3 separate regions of the Mus musculus genome follow, and all the other regions are reported to be linked to region 3. Evidence: microRNA targets listed by miRTarBase, many of them from high-throughput screens and not tested one by one. Region 3 holds a microRNA gene; each other region holds the end of a gene's coding sequence.

The links. Region 3 holds the annotated microRNA mmu-miR-343 (UCUCCCUUCAUGUGCCCAGA, at 2,966-2,985, opposite strand). A microRNA usually pairs through its seed, bases 2 to 8, with sites in the 3' UTR of a target mRNA and lowers its output. Matches are read on the target gene's strand: a 7mer-m8 pairs with bases 2 to 8, a 7mer-A1 pairs with bases 2 to 7 and ends in A, and an 8mer does both.
Region 1: the mRNA of Pm20d2 is a reported target of mmu-miR-343. Seed matches in the 3' UTR shown: 7mer-A1 at 801-807 and 7mer-A1 at 807-813.
Region 2: the mRNA of Wdr59 is a reported target of mmu-miR-343. Seed matches in the 3' UTR shown: 7mer-m8 at 657-663 and 7mer-A1 at 1,230-1,236.

What each region holds. Positions count from the first base shown.
Region 1 is chr4:33,170,561-33,174,616 of GRCm38, reverse strand. Pm20d2 (peptidase M20 domain containing 2) reads left to right here. Exons shown (of 7, transcript NM_001034867.2): 7 at 137-4,056. The coding sequence ends at 291. Among named protein-coding and RNA genes, the nearest start is that of Pm20d2, 17 kb to the left of the region's middle.
Region 2 is chr8:111,447,235-111,451,290 of GRCm38, reverse strand. Wdr59 (WD repeat domain 59) reads left to right here. Exons shown (of 26, transcript NM_001170742.1): 26 at 212-2,507. The coding sequence ends at 447. Among named protein-coding and RNA genes, the nearest start is that of Gm24793, 31 kb to the right of the region's middle.
Region 3 is chr7:19,385,607-19,389,672 of GRCm38, reverse strand. Mir343 (microRNA 343) reads right to left here and starts at 3,030; the gene lies at 2,956-3,030. It overlaps Ercc2 (excision repair cross-complementing rodent repair deficiency, complementation group 2), which reads right to left. Exons shown (of 23, transcript NM_007949.5): 6 at 3,934-4,050; 7 at 3,727-3,843; 8 at 2,843-2,966; 9 at 2,645-2,741; 10 at 2,427-2,560; 11 at 2,176-2,344; 12 at 1,415-1,533.

The sequences.
Region 1 (4,056 bases), not on the chromosome of region 3:
TATAATCACTTCAGAAAACACGGTGTTGTGCTCAGAGGGTGGAGAGGCAGTTTAGATACTGAGAGGTAACCAGAGGAACTAATAAATGTACTGTGATCTAGAGAGAGGTTTTCAATGTGTTTTCTTCACCTCCCAGGATCACAAGCGGCTCAGCTGTACACGCTGCGTACAGCCAAGGCTCTGGCAATGACCGCACTGGACGTCATCTTTAAGCCTGCATTGCTCGAAGGAGTCAGGAAGGAGTTTAAATGTAAACTTCAAGAAGAGCAGCTTTTAAATACAGCAGCATAGAAGGAAACCCTAGGGACTGGTCAGGAAATGTTACGTTTTGTTTGTTTTTTACCTCTCATGTTTTTCAGTGAAAGAGAGCATGCTTGTTTTTCAGTCCTGGTAAGTGAGGACAGATATAGGGAAGAAGACACGAATGCACGTCTAGATTTAGTGGAGTTTGTGATACTGCAGGCGTTGGTGCGTAACGCCATCTATTACGCCAGATGATACCTGATCCTGTAACATTCGGTAATGTTTTGTAAGTGTATCTGCTGTATGGTGTTACAAGTCCCACGGGTTTCAGAAGGTGACACTCATGAACTCTGTGGTTCAGAGTAGGGAATGTCTTCTCGGCAGTTTAAATCGAGGGGGAGACTTGTTTTAAGTCTAACTGTATCTGTTTGGGTCTAAAGAAAAACTTGAAATAAACATATGCTTGTGGGACACTCCTAGAATCCCCAGTACAAAGAATTAGCTCTACTTTTAACACTTAGAGAAGGGGCGAGGAGGAGTGGAGGGAATGGTGGAAGAGGGAGAGGGAGAGAGAGAGAGAGAGAGAGAGAGATCTTTACTTACATGTAATTACTCCAAGAAGTGGCATAGGAACAGTGGGTAGTAACAGGAAAAATGGCAGAAAGGCACAGTTGAGCCTTTCTAGCAGGGTAGGGTGTTGTGTGTTGTGTTACAGGAGTTGGCCGGAGTACAGACTAGGTGTGCTCTGTTCTCCAGTGTCCCACACGGTCCCCAGTCCCTAGCAGCCTCAGAAGAGCCCCAAAGCCCTGTGCTGGCCCAGTAGTAATGTGAACCCATGGCCTTGGAAAGGAGGCTCCGTAGCTCCTAATGAGACTTAGTTAAGCTTCCTGCAGTTTCTCTGGACTTTCTTTTGTGCCTTGTCTGCTCGCTCCCTGGTTTGTGTCACCACAGCATTTGTAGAGCCACAGGAGGGAGTTGTTTTTACAAGGAAGCCAGGATTCGAGCTGGAAATCTGAAACATTTCAGTGGTTGTCAGTAAAATCACTGTCAGTAATGCCCTGGAAAGGAGCGAGTCACATAAAATCAGCAGTTCTTCATGGTCCTCACTGTAGCACAAGTTTCTTTGGTTTTGGTGGGGCTGAGTTTGAGACAGGTTTTCCCTTCTGCCCGCCTCCTCCCCACTCTCTTCCCTCTGCTGCTGCCTCTCAGATGCTGTGATTATAGGCTCGAGCACAGCACACCTGCCATCTAGTGTGAACTTGCACATGATTAAAGTGTGAAGAAGCCGGTAAAACCAACTCGTGGGCATTTGAGGAGGCGGTTCAGAGTCAGAAGTGGAAGGGCACAGGGAAGTGCATTTGCTTCTGTGGTGGAAGCAAGTCACTTTCCCTCAGTGACACCAGCTGCCACTTAGAAGGTTAGCCATCTTTGACCCTTCTAGCCTCTGATTTCCTGTTTGATGTGTACTTTAGAACAGGGAGCGGGGTTGTATTGGAGGGCTAACATCTGAGAACTGCTCTCTGCTGTTCTCTGGCTTGACATAGGCTGGTGTTTGCTTGATTACTTGCCTTTGTGCAGCTAGTATACTAAGAATTGTTTTGCATTTTAGAGGTTAAAAAAAAAACCCCAAAAACAAAAAACCACCATTACCACAAAGCATAAAGTATTTACTGTCTGACCTGTCAGGAAAAAGAAACCTCTCAGAGCCAGTCAATCGGGCAGTTTCTGATTTCTGTTCTCTTGAATTTTCTGGGGAAAGCTTCAAGTCCTGCATTGGAAGCACTTTAGTGTAGATAGGGGCTGCCTGACAGAGTGATCAGGACTGTTCCACCCTCTACTTTGTCCTTCTAGACAGAAGCCTGTTTCAGCTCCCCTCACCCTGCCCCACAAGTCCTCAGCCTTGCCTCTGCACACCACCCGTTCTGTCTTTGCGTAACATTGAGAACTCAGTCCTCCATGACACCTTGTGTCTGGATACTCACACCCGAGTTTATCATATTAAATACAAATTTTGTATAAAGAGGGAGTATCAATGAAAACTTGAATCAAAAAATAAGACATGCCAGAGATGTGGTTTTTTTTTATTGATGGACTTGGTCTCCTAAAAGGCTGTTTTATTAGTTCCTCACATCTTGAGGGATAGGTTTTTTTGTTGATTGATTTAGTTTTGGTTTTTGCAGGGCTTGATATTGAGACCAGGGCTCTAGCACAGAGCTGCATCCCCAGCTCCAGGGCAGGGCATTGGTTGCATTTGCTATAATCTTGACACCATCCTAGAACAGCTGTTGTTATTTATGCAGCCCAACCTCTGAGAATCATGTGTATTCCGTGTCTGGTTTCCTTTTCCTTTTTTTTTTTTTAAGTAAAATTAAATTTGACTGATGTATAAACAATGTCGGGTTTAGGTAGGTAAGGAAGGGTGTGTTTCTTGTTGGAGGTTGCTGCTGTGATTTTACAATTTGCTGTCTTATTGTCCAATGGTTTACCATTTTGAACCACTTACACCATGTCCTTACAAATGCCTTTTCCTGTCACCTGGGAGAGGTGTTACGTCAATGCATTCTAGAATGAGTAAGCTACACTTAGCAGCTTAAATGTAATTACAATCTGAAATTTATTTTCCTTTACCAGCTTAATTCTAAGGAAGCTTGAATATGGGACCTGTGCAGTACAGGTGTTAAAGTTATGTTTCCTTTTTCCTAAATGCCTGAGACCAGCGGTGTTTCAGATTTTAGATTAAAAAAATGTTTTGAAATATTTGCATATATATTATGTAATCTATATTTTATACATATATATGTATATACAAACAGGGAGGGGGAAGATAGAGATGGAACCCAGCTAGAGCTATAAAAATCCCTTTGTGTATCACATGGGCCTGCCCTATGCACACAGCTTGAAGGACGGTGTGCTCAGTGTTTTAGTGTGTCTGAGAGTTAACTGACCTGTGTGCACAGGAGGCCAGTTGTGCAGTTCTCACCTAGGTCGTGCCACTCACAGTTGGATTTCTGGAGCATTTTGGTCAGTCAACCTGGACTGCGAACTAGTAAGTTGCTGTGTATTCTGTGACTGTAGCTAATATTTAGCTTGCCTCAAATTTTTTGAGCTGATATTTAGTCTTAACAAATTCTCCTTATTGGATGAACTGCACAGGAAGTTTTTCTTTTCAACCACGTCTCTCTATGACATAAACGTTGGGGTACTTAGGGTAAAGTAGACACTGCATGTGTTTATGAAGGTGCAAACAGAAAGAAGGGTGTCAAGTGCTACAGTTGCATTGCTGTTGCTGTTTGTAAACTGTGCCGTCTCAGCGTTTGGGTGAGTAAATGTTTGCAACCACTGGAGAAGAGTAAAGGCCCTGTGTGTGGTGCTACATCCTCCTAGGATTTAGTTCACACAGACTATGCCAGGATGGAGGGGCACCTGAAAACTGCCCTGGGAGTTTTGGAGGAAGGGCTTCTAAAATACTTAAAAATACGTGAATCACTTCAGTCTGTTTAAACGGAAAAAAATATTTGATACCAGGTCTTTATATATATATATAAATATATATAAAAGAATAGTTGTCTCAAGAGGAATAAAATCTGGAGTGTAAAAAAAATGTTAAAAAAAAAGAATACTTGTCTCACTTTATAATATTTTTTAAAGGAAAAAAGAAAACGTTTCCAATAGCTTTTGTGTTCTGTGAGCTCTCACTTTTTACCTGAAGCAGTCTTCTGTAGCATGTCCCACAGCATCAGAGTAACTTGATGGTGACTATCATTTTTGTGCCCATTATCAGGCTCCAGTCATCTGTGAGAGGGGATAAACTAC
Region 2 (4,056 bases), not on the chromosome of region 3:
TCTCCCCAGCCCCAGTAGATACGTTTTTGCGTTACGTGGTTGACCAGGGAGAAAGAAAATGCATGAGGATGAGAGAGAAGGAAGAAATGACTGATCTGCCAGAGCCTGACAGGGTCCTGAGAGGAGTCGGTATCCTTACCCAGCCAGACTCAGTCTGCTTTTATTAGAACTAATGTCTCCTCTTGCTTTGCCCCTGTCCACCCATTTGCAGAGTTTGGTGTGTACTGCAGTCACTGTCGGAGCGAGGTCCGTGGCACCCAGTGCGCCATCTGCAAAGGCTTCACCTTCCAGTGTGCCATCTGCCATGTGGCCGTGCGGGGTTCATCCAACTTCTGCCTGACCTGTGGGCATGGTGGCCACACGAGCCACATGATGGAGTGGTTTCGGACCCAGGAGGTATGTCCCACGGGGTGTGGCTGCCACTGCCTGCTGGAGAGCACCTTCTGAACTTAAAGGACAGTGGCACTTCCGGAAATCCCAGAGGACTCCATAAGTGCTGGAGAAGGCTCTCTGCTGCTGCTGGTGGAAAGTCCTAGAACCAGGGCCATCCTCGTGATTTAGGATGGAGAGTATCCTCTCACAGACTGTCACAGCATCCGCTCGTGATCCTGTGTGTTCCCTTCTCCTTGGCTGCCGGGCACGGATGGTGCTGGAAGAAGGGAGGGGGACGCACAGAGCTGACCCTCCTGTACTGTCTGTTGAGTCCACAGTGGATGTTTTCATGAGGAAAAGCACCTGTTTCCAGAGCCATCAGAGCTAGCATCAGCCTTCAAGATTCTGTCCTTGAACCAGGAATGGACCCTCCAGATGCCAGTACAAAGGCACACAGCAGCTGCAAAACAGACTCCTGAGCCAGAAGACGCTGGCTCTTAGTGCCATCCACAAGTGAGCTATGGTATCTGTGACTTAGAAGTTGGCACCTTGATGATGGCCTTATAAAATACAATACTAAAGTGTAATATATGATGGACATATATTCAGCATTCTTTTTCTTGGTACAGGGCTGGAACTCAGCGCCTTGCACATACTGGTGAGCAGCCATACCACTGAGTTACATTCCAGCCCCATAAGAAACTTAAGATGTATATGTTTTCTGTTTCTCTTCATCTGCTTTCCTTTAACTAATAGAAGTTTGTACTTGTGTGTGTGTGTGTGTGTGTGTGTGTGTGTGTGTGTGTGTGTGTGTGAGTGAGTGAGTGAGTGAGAGAGAGAGAGAGAGAGAGAGAGAGAGGGAGAGAGAGAGGATGAATAAGGAAAGTGACCGTCTTAGTGACTCATTTTGCATTGTACTTCTGGTTGAAGGGAACTGTTTTGGACCGGACTAGAATTAGTCTCATGACTTGTAAAGGAAATGCCATTTGACTTTGATCATCTGACAGAGGAAACGGAATCTGACATTAAGGTTCTCTCTAGCCGCAAGAGTCTCATAATTATTTCTTCTAGCACAGGGGAAATGAGATTGCATTTCAGCACTGATACCAGAGTCTCTCTCTGCCTCTGGGCAGGCTGGCTGGGCTCCAGGGGTACTTTTTACTTGAACTCCCTTGCAAACTCATCATGATTTTCAGGGGTTTCACTTGTCTATACCAGGGAAGAGAGTTTAAAAAAAAAAACAAGACCCACTATACTGAAATCTCTCTCTCTTAGAAATTTAAATTCCTTGGGCCTGTCATAAGGCTCAGTGGGCAGAGGTGCCTGCCACTAAGCTTACTAACCTCAGTTTTCTCCCTCGCATGAGCCACCATAGAAGAACTGACTCCTAAGAGTTGTCCTCTGACTTCCACATGTGTGCTTTGATATGTGAATGTACACACACACATACAAAAAATGTAATTTAACAATTTTATGATTCCAAACTAATTAACCGGAGACACATAAGTAATTTGTGTCATTGGATTATGGTTGCACGTGTTTGTAGTCCCTTCACTCACGGGGCTGAGGTAAGAGGGTTTCAAGTTTGAGACCATCCTGGGCTACACAGTGAGGTGATGGCCAGCCTCACTTATATATGAAGACACTTACAAGCAAACGTCATAAAGAAGATCTGGAGAGATCGCTTAGTAATCAAATGCTTGGCTAGCATACAGGAGGTGATGTGTTTGATCCTCAGCAACACACACACTGACACTCAAACTAAAACAAAACAAAATACTACATGTTCCATAATAGGTAAGTGTTGTATATCACTTTGTTTGAAACTATGATTTAAGACTCATGAATGGATTAGGAAATCAGTCTCGTAGATAAAAACCAACACTTTCTATTTTCAAGGATTACTTTGTGTGTGTAAATCTCTGTGTCTTCAAGTGTATGTTGTGTGGGACAGAAGAGGCCATCTGGTTCCTTGGTGCTAGGATTATCAGTCTTTTCAGGACACCTTGTGTCATGTGTGTTCAGGGATCCTAACTTGGATCTTCATGATTGCAAAGTCAGAACTGTTTTGTCTCCAGCCCCCAAACTGTCATATAAAGAAAGTAAAATAATGTGGGTGAGAGACAATCGTGTACTAACACAGTCTGATGTCCTTTGTTTACTAGTGCGTGCGCACACACACACACACACACACACACACACACACACACGTACTTATATCTCATGGTGGCAGGTGGGCCTCACCTCTCCCCTGTATTACTAATTGGTCATGAGACTCCGTGGCATAAGCTTGATCTTGAACTATGTGCCAGGTTTGGTACCAGTGCCTCAGCAGCACGTGTAGTCCGGTGTGCTGGGATGGGGGAGGAAGGGCCGCAGGTATCTGAGTGTATTACACTGTACTCCTCCAGCCTCGTTTGTGTCGACACTGCCGTGATGCTGGTCCCACAACAGGCGGACTGATGTGCACAGACACAGATCTGTTGGGTCCTCTGTGAGTTCACACCATTTACAGAGAGCGGTCTCTTCCTCTACCCCACCGTGAAGCTAATGGAAGCCCTGTCCCTGTTTAGAATGACATAGTTTTCTTGTGTGGATTATTTCTGTAAGAACATTGTCTTCCAAAACAAAAAAACCTTCTTAGTGACTATGAAGTCATTTCAAGTTTAACATGTTTCATAGGGGGCTGGAGAGATGGTTCAGTGATTAAGAGCACTGGCCGCTCTTCCAGATGCAAGTCCCAGTAACCATAAGCCAGGCCACAGACGTTTGTAACTCCCATTCCGGGGATCAGATGCCTTTCTCTGGCCTCTGTCAGCACCAGACATGCACATGCTATGTAGACATGCTGGCAAAACACTCTTTATGCATAAAATAAAAACAAGACACTATGTAACATCTCTCAATAGGTCAGTTCTGTTTGCATTTCCAAGTTACCAGGACAAAAACTTAGTATTTGTGAGAAATATCCCTGTTTGGAAACACAGTGGTCTGGATGCTGGTGGGGTCAGCAGCCTCTCTACCATAGCTAAGTCCTCTTGGTTTGGTTTACTGTGCTCGTCTGAGGTAGGGCACCGTTGTGTTTCCCAGCTGACCTTGAACTTGAGACCTCTGACTGCCAGAGTGCTGGGATTCCACCACACCTGGGCTTTATTTGCTCTTTAAAATATTATAACCTGTGTCCTAAACACCTTTGAATTTGCCAGGGAGAACACTAGGCATGGGCATGGTGGCACACGCCTCTAATCCGCATTTGGGAGGCAGAGGCAGGAGGATCTCTGAGTTTGAGGCCAGCCTGGTCTACAAAGCGAGTTCCAGGACAGCCAGGGCTGTTCTTACACAAAGAAGAAACCTATCCTGAAAAACCAAATCCAACCAAACAAACAAAAACTTTTTGCCATGGGAAAGCAGTGCTAGCTGTCCAGGGTACCAGGGGCTCTTTAGCCCCCTGCCAAGCAGAATGGGCCATGCGTTCTAGGTGACCACCAGCTTGCATTTGTCCTCCCACCTCAAGCTGCTCAGACCACAGGACTTAACACTTTCCTCATGGACACTATGGAGAGTCCATTATGCTTAATTTTAATAAGTTTTTCTACTCTATAGATGCATACAATCTGCATTTGCTGATCCACAGTGGGCATGGCAGCCCTTCCCAGTGCTGCTTTGAAGGGCTAGTAGAATCGA
Region 3 (4,066 bases):
CTTGGGTGCCTTCCTGACTGGCTTTTTTTGTTGTTGTTGTTGGTTTTTTTCTGTTGCCAGCACAGGGTACCATGACTGGGATAACACTTCACAACCAAGGACAAGAAAAACAAGGATAGTTCATATTCCAGAGTCCCACTGTGAGACACCTGAGGGCCCCCTTGCCCTGAGCTGCTGTGCCAGCTTCCACTTGGCTGAATCCCTGCCCCAGAGGACAGTGCCATGGCTCCTTGCAGCACCGCTCCACTTCCCAGGGTCACCTGGAACCATCTTTGCTCCTCATTCTCCCCCAGGCTGTGACTCCGGGAAGGGGAGGATGAGGCTGTTTCAGTAGTGCTGGGCCTGGCCCCATTTGCTAACTGAACAAATGAATACATTCATGGGTTCTGTTTCACTTGGCAAAAATGATCGGGTCTTACGTGTCCAGCCCTTGCCAAGGACACAGCAGTGACCAACACAGCCTCAGTCCCACCCATAAGAGCTCCCTTGTACTAGGGGAGACAGCTATCCAGAGAGTAATGATCCCAGGCGCAGCTGGAATAGAGAAGGGGCAGGCCTCGCATAGGGTGGGCTGGGTGCCTTTCTGAAAGCTGAAGGACTCAGGCAGGTGATAGGAGGCGTAGACAAGGAGGCTTCTACCGATTGTGATGTTGTAGGTGGGGGAGGAGGAAGAGACAAAGGCCAAAGAAAGGGGCATGGTGAGTGCTGAAAGCTTAAGGAAGCAGGCAGCTGCCAACAGCCTGCAGTGGGGCTGATGGGGGGGGCCTCCTCCTTCCGAGGCCCAGGCTGGCCCAGCTGCAGGATGCCAGCTGACCTGGTTTCCTGGCTACGGCAGTAATCCCCAGGGATAAGCCTGAAAACTCAGTGTGGAGCTGGGGGGGTGGGGGGGTGGGGCAGCACACAACACATGGACAGAGGAAACATGACAGATGGACCCAAGTGACGGACCCAGAAGGTCCTGGGAGGCAGGCCTCTGTGGATCATCAGTCTGTATCTGCCTCCCTTGAGAGCTTCATGCCCAGCGCCATGCTTTTCCATCCTGGCCTCTTCCTCCCATAGTTCTCCCCAGCACACTCTCCTGTCCCCATTGTCCACAGTTCTGCATCTTCCTGCTACATGAACCTCGAAAGCAACAATCTCACCAAGTGCATCCCTTGCCCAGAACCTGCCATGGTTCCCTGGTGCCCTCAGTCACACACGAGGACTCCTCACCCCACTGATGGTGAGGTGACCCCTAGTGTCCTTCTGGTCAGTGCCACAGCACAGCCCACACACTTGTTCTCTGAACACGAGAATCTGACCACGAGGCTCCTCACTCAGGCACTCTGTATGGTCTTGCCCCCTGCTAATGCCCCACCCATGTGGCTGACCCCCAAGTCCTGCTGTCAGATCCCCAGTAGAAAGGCGAGCTCACCCTTGGCGTAAGTGCTGACGAGAGTGGCGAAGTTAGCAAGGAGTGTGAGCGGGGAGAAGTCGGCCAGGTCGGCAATCTCCAGGGTGTGCAGCAGGGAGCGCAGGCGTTCAGCACAGAACCTGAGAGGCAACGGGGTCAGGAGCGGGAAGCAGCAACAGGCCCGACTCTCACCATGTTTCCCTGGGCACCTGGGCATTGTGTGAAGCTACCCCATACTGTAGAAGACCCCCAGAGCTACCACTCCAGGCTGGAGCACAGCACATACAGTGCACAGGCTCACTGCTCACACGCAATATCCTGTTAAGACTCCCGGCTAGAGCCCGGCGTGGTGGCGCACGCCTTTAATCCCAGCACTCGGGAGGCAGAGGCAGGCGGATTTCTGAGTTCGAAGCCAGCCTGGTCTACAAAGTGAGTTCCAGGACAGCCAGGGCTACACAGAGAAACCCTGTCTCAAAAAACCAAACCAAAAAAAAAAAAAAAAAGACTCCCAGCTAGCAGTCACTCTGTTTCTGTCCAGCCAGTGTCACGGGCCCAACGCTCAAGGAGGAATAGCCACATACTTTCTTAGCCTCACAAAGGCTGTGTCACCTGCTCATCACCCAACATAGGGACACGTGGCTGCGGCACTCACTGCCAACCACACAGTCCAATGGATGCCCTCCACATCCAGTTCTGACCTGCCCCTTAGCCTTATCTATGGTCCAGACCCCTTTATCATCAGCAACAAGGCTTGGGCCCGTGGTTCCCCGTGCAGGCCGCACCTGAGGGGCTTGCGCTGGATGCACACCCGCTGGGCCAGGCCGCTCAGAAAGGCAGGTGGACTCTCCTGCACCACATGCTGCACGCGCAGACGCCACTTGACATACTCCAGCAGCCGCCGCAGAAAGCCCAGGAAGTGCTCAGCCGTACGGATGGAGCCAGGCACAGCCTCTGCAGGGAGACCCAGTCAGGTGGTACAGGGGTGCGTGTGCGGGGCAGGGGCTGGGTGGTGGGGGAGTGGGGAGTAGCTCACCCTGCAGCACCTCGTCCGGCAGCACAGGGTTGGCCAGGTGGGCATCTGTCTCCCGGGCCACACTGGCCTCCCGCAGGCCCTCCACCAGGCGCCGGTACTCATCCCGCAGCCGCTGCTCATCCGTCTCCTTGATCCTGATGGGGACATGGGACAGGAGCTGGAATGAGGCAGGTGCCCAGGGCACTGAGGCACACACAACAGTGGGAGCAGACAGGCACCTGAGCACGGTCTTCTGTAGGGTGTCTAAGTTGCTCTGGCAACGGTCCAGAGTCCTGCGGGTGAGGTTGACACTCATGGAGTCAATGCAGACATTGTCTGAGGAAAGAGCAAAGGGATGAAAGCCGGGCTCAGGCAGGCCTGGGGGCAGAGGCAGAGGGCTGCCACTGTCTGCACACCCTGATGCCCGCCCTCCTCACCGATGTTGTGAGCTTCATCGAAGACCACAACAGCCTTGCGAGCCAGCTCTTTGGATACCAGGTCTGCGATCTTGGGGTCCAGGAGGTAGTGGTAGCTGTAAACCACCACGTTGGCATGCAGGATCTGGGCACATGAAGGGAGAGGTTGCCCTGGGCTCTGCTACCCCCGCCACACCCACTCTATCCCAGGTACACAGAGGTGCCACAAAGACAGACACAACGACGGGTGGAAAGATGGACAGGACTGTTAGCCTTTTGTCTAAGCTCCACCTCACAGTTACACGGCAATAGCCAGGTGTGCCTGAATCACTATAAAAGGGGCTTCTTGCCCCCCCCCCCTTGCTTTCTTGCTTTGCTCTGCCTTCCTGCCCCTGCTCTATCCTCTAGTCCCTTCCCCCATCTCTCTCCATGTGCTCATGGGCAACCCCCCCCTCCCTCCCTCCCCCGCCTTTCTCTGCCTCTACTATCCTCTTGACACCCTTCCCCATGCCCTGAATAAACCCTATTCTATACTATACTGTCGTGTGGTGGCTGGTCCCTCAGGGGTAAGGGACGCCTCAGCATGAGCCTGCAGAGGCACCCCTTTCCCCACACCTCCATAGAACATATCTCCCCCTTTATCTTTTTATAAACACATCAAGGACCACCCAGGCAAGGCACAAGAAAGCAGAGATACTAGGACGGAGACAGACGATCCAGACAACAGACATAAAGACGTAACAGCACAGAGTCAAGTAGACAGATGGGCCAGCAGAAGGATGGGCACGGTGGCTCATGCCTATACCCCTGACAGCTGAGAACCTGAGGCAGGGTTATTCCAAGTTTGAGGCCAGCTGGGCTACAAATGAGATCCTGCCTCATAAGGAAACAAAACAACTCTTCACCGAGTATCGAGCCAGGAAGTAGGGGCACCAGCCCTGGCGCTGCCCTAGGGCCTTCAGGTCATCCAGGTTGTAGATGCCCGCAGGGAGCGGCATCTGGCGTCCATGGATGTCAAATTCCTGGGGCAAGGCCAGAGGGTGGCAGGGTCAGGGAGAGCGGCTCTGGCGTGGCCCCCACCCTGCTCACCAGTTCTAGGCTCTTCCCTGTACCTCATAGAAGCGGCAGTGAGGCAGGCTGGCATCCTGCTGGTACTGTGCCCGCACATACGACGCCGTTAGGCTGTGACACTTCCCATCAACATCCTTCCCAAAGCGCAGTGGAGTCACCTGAGGGGGCGGGGTG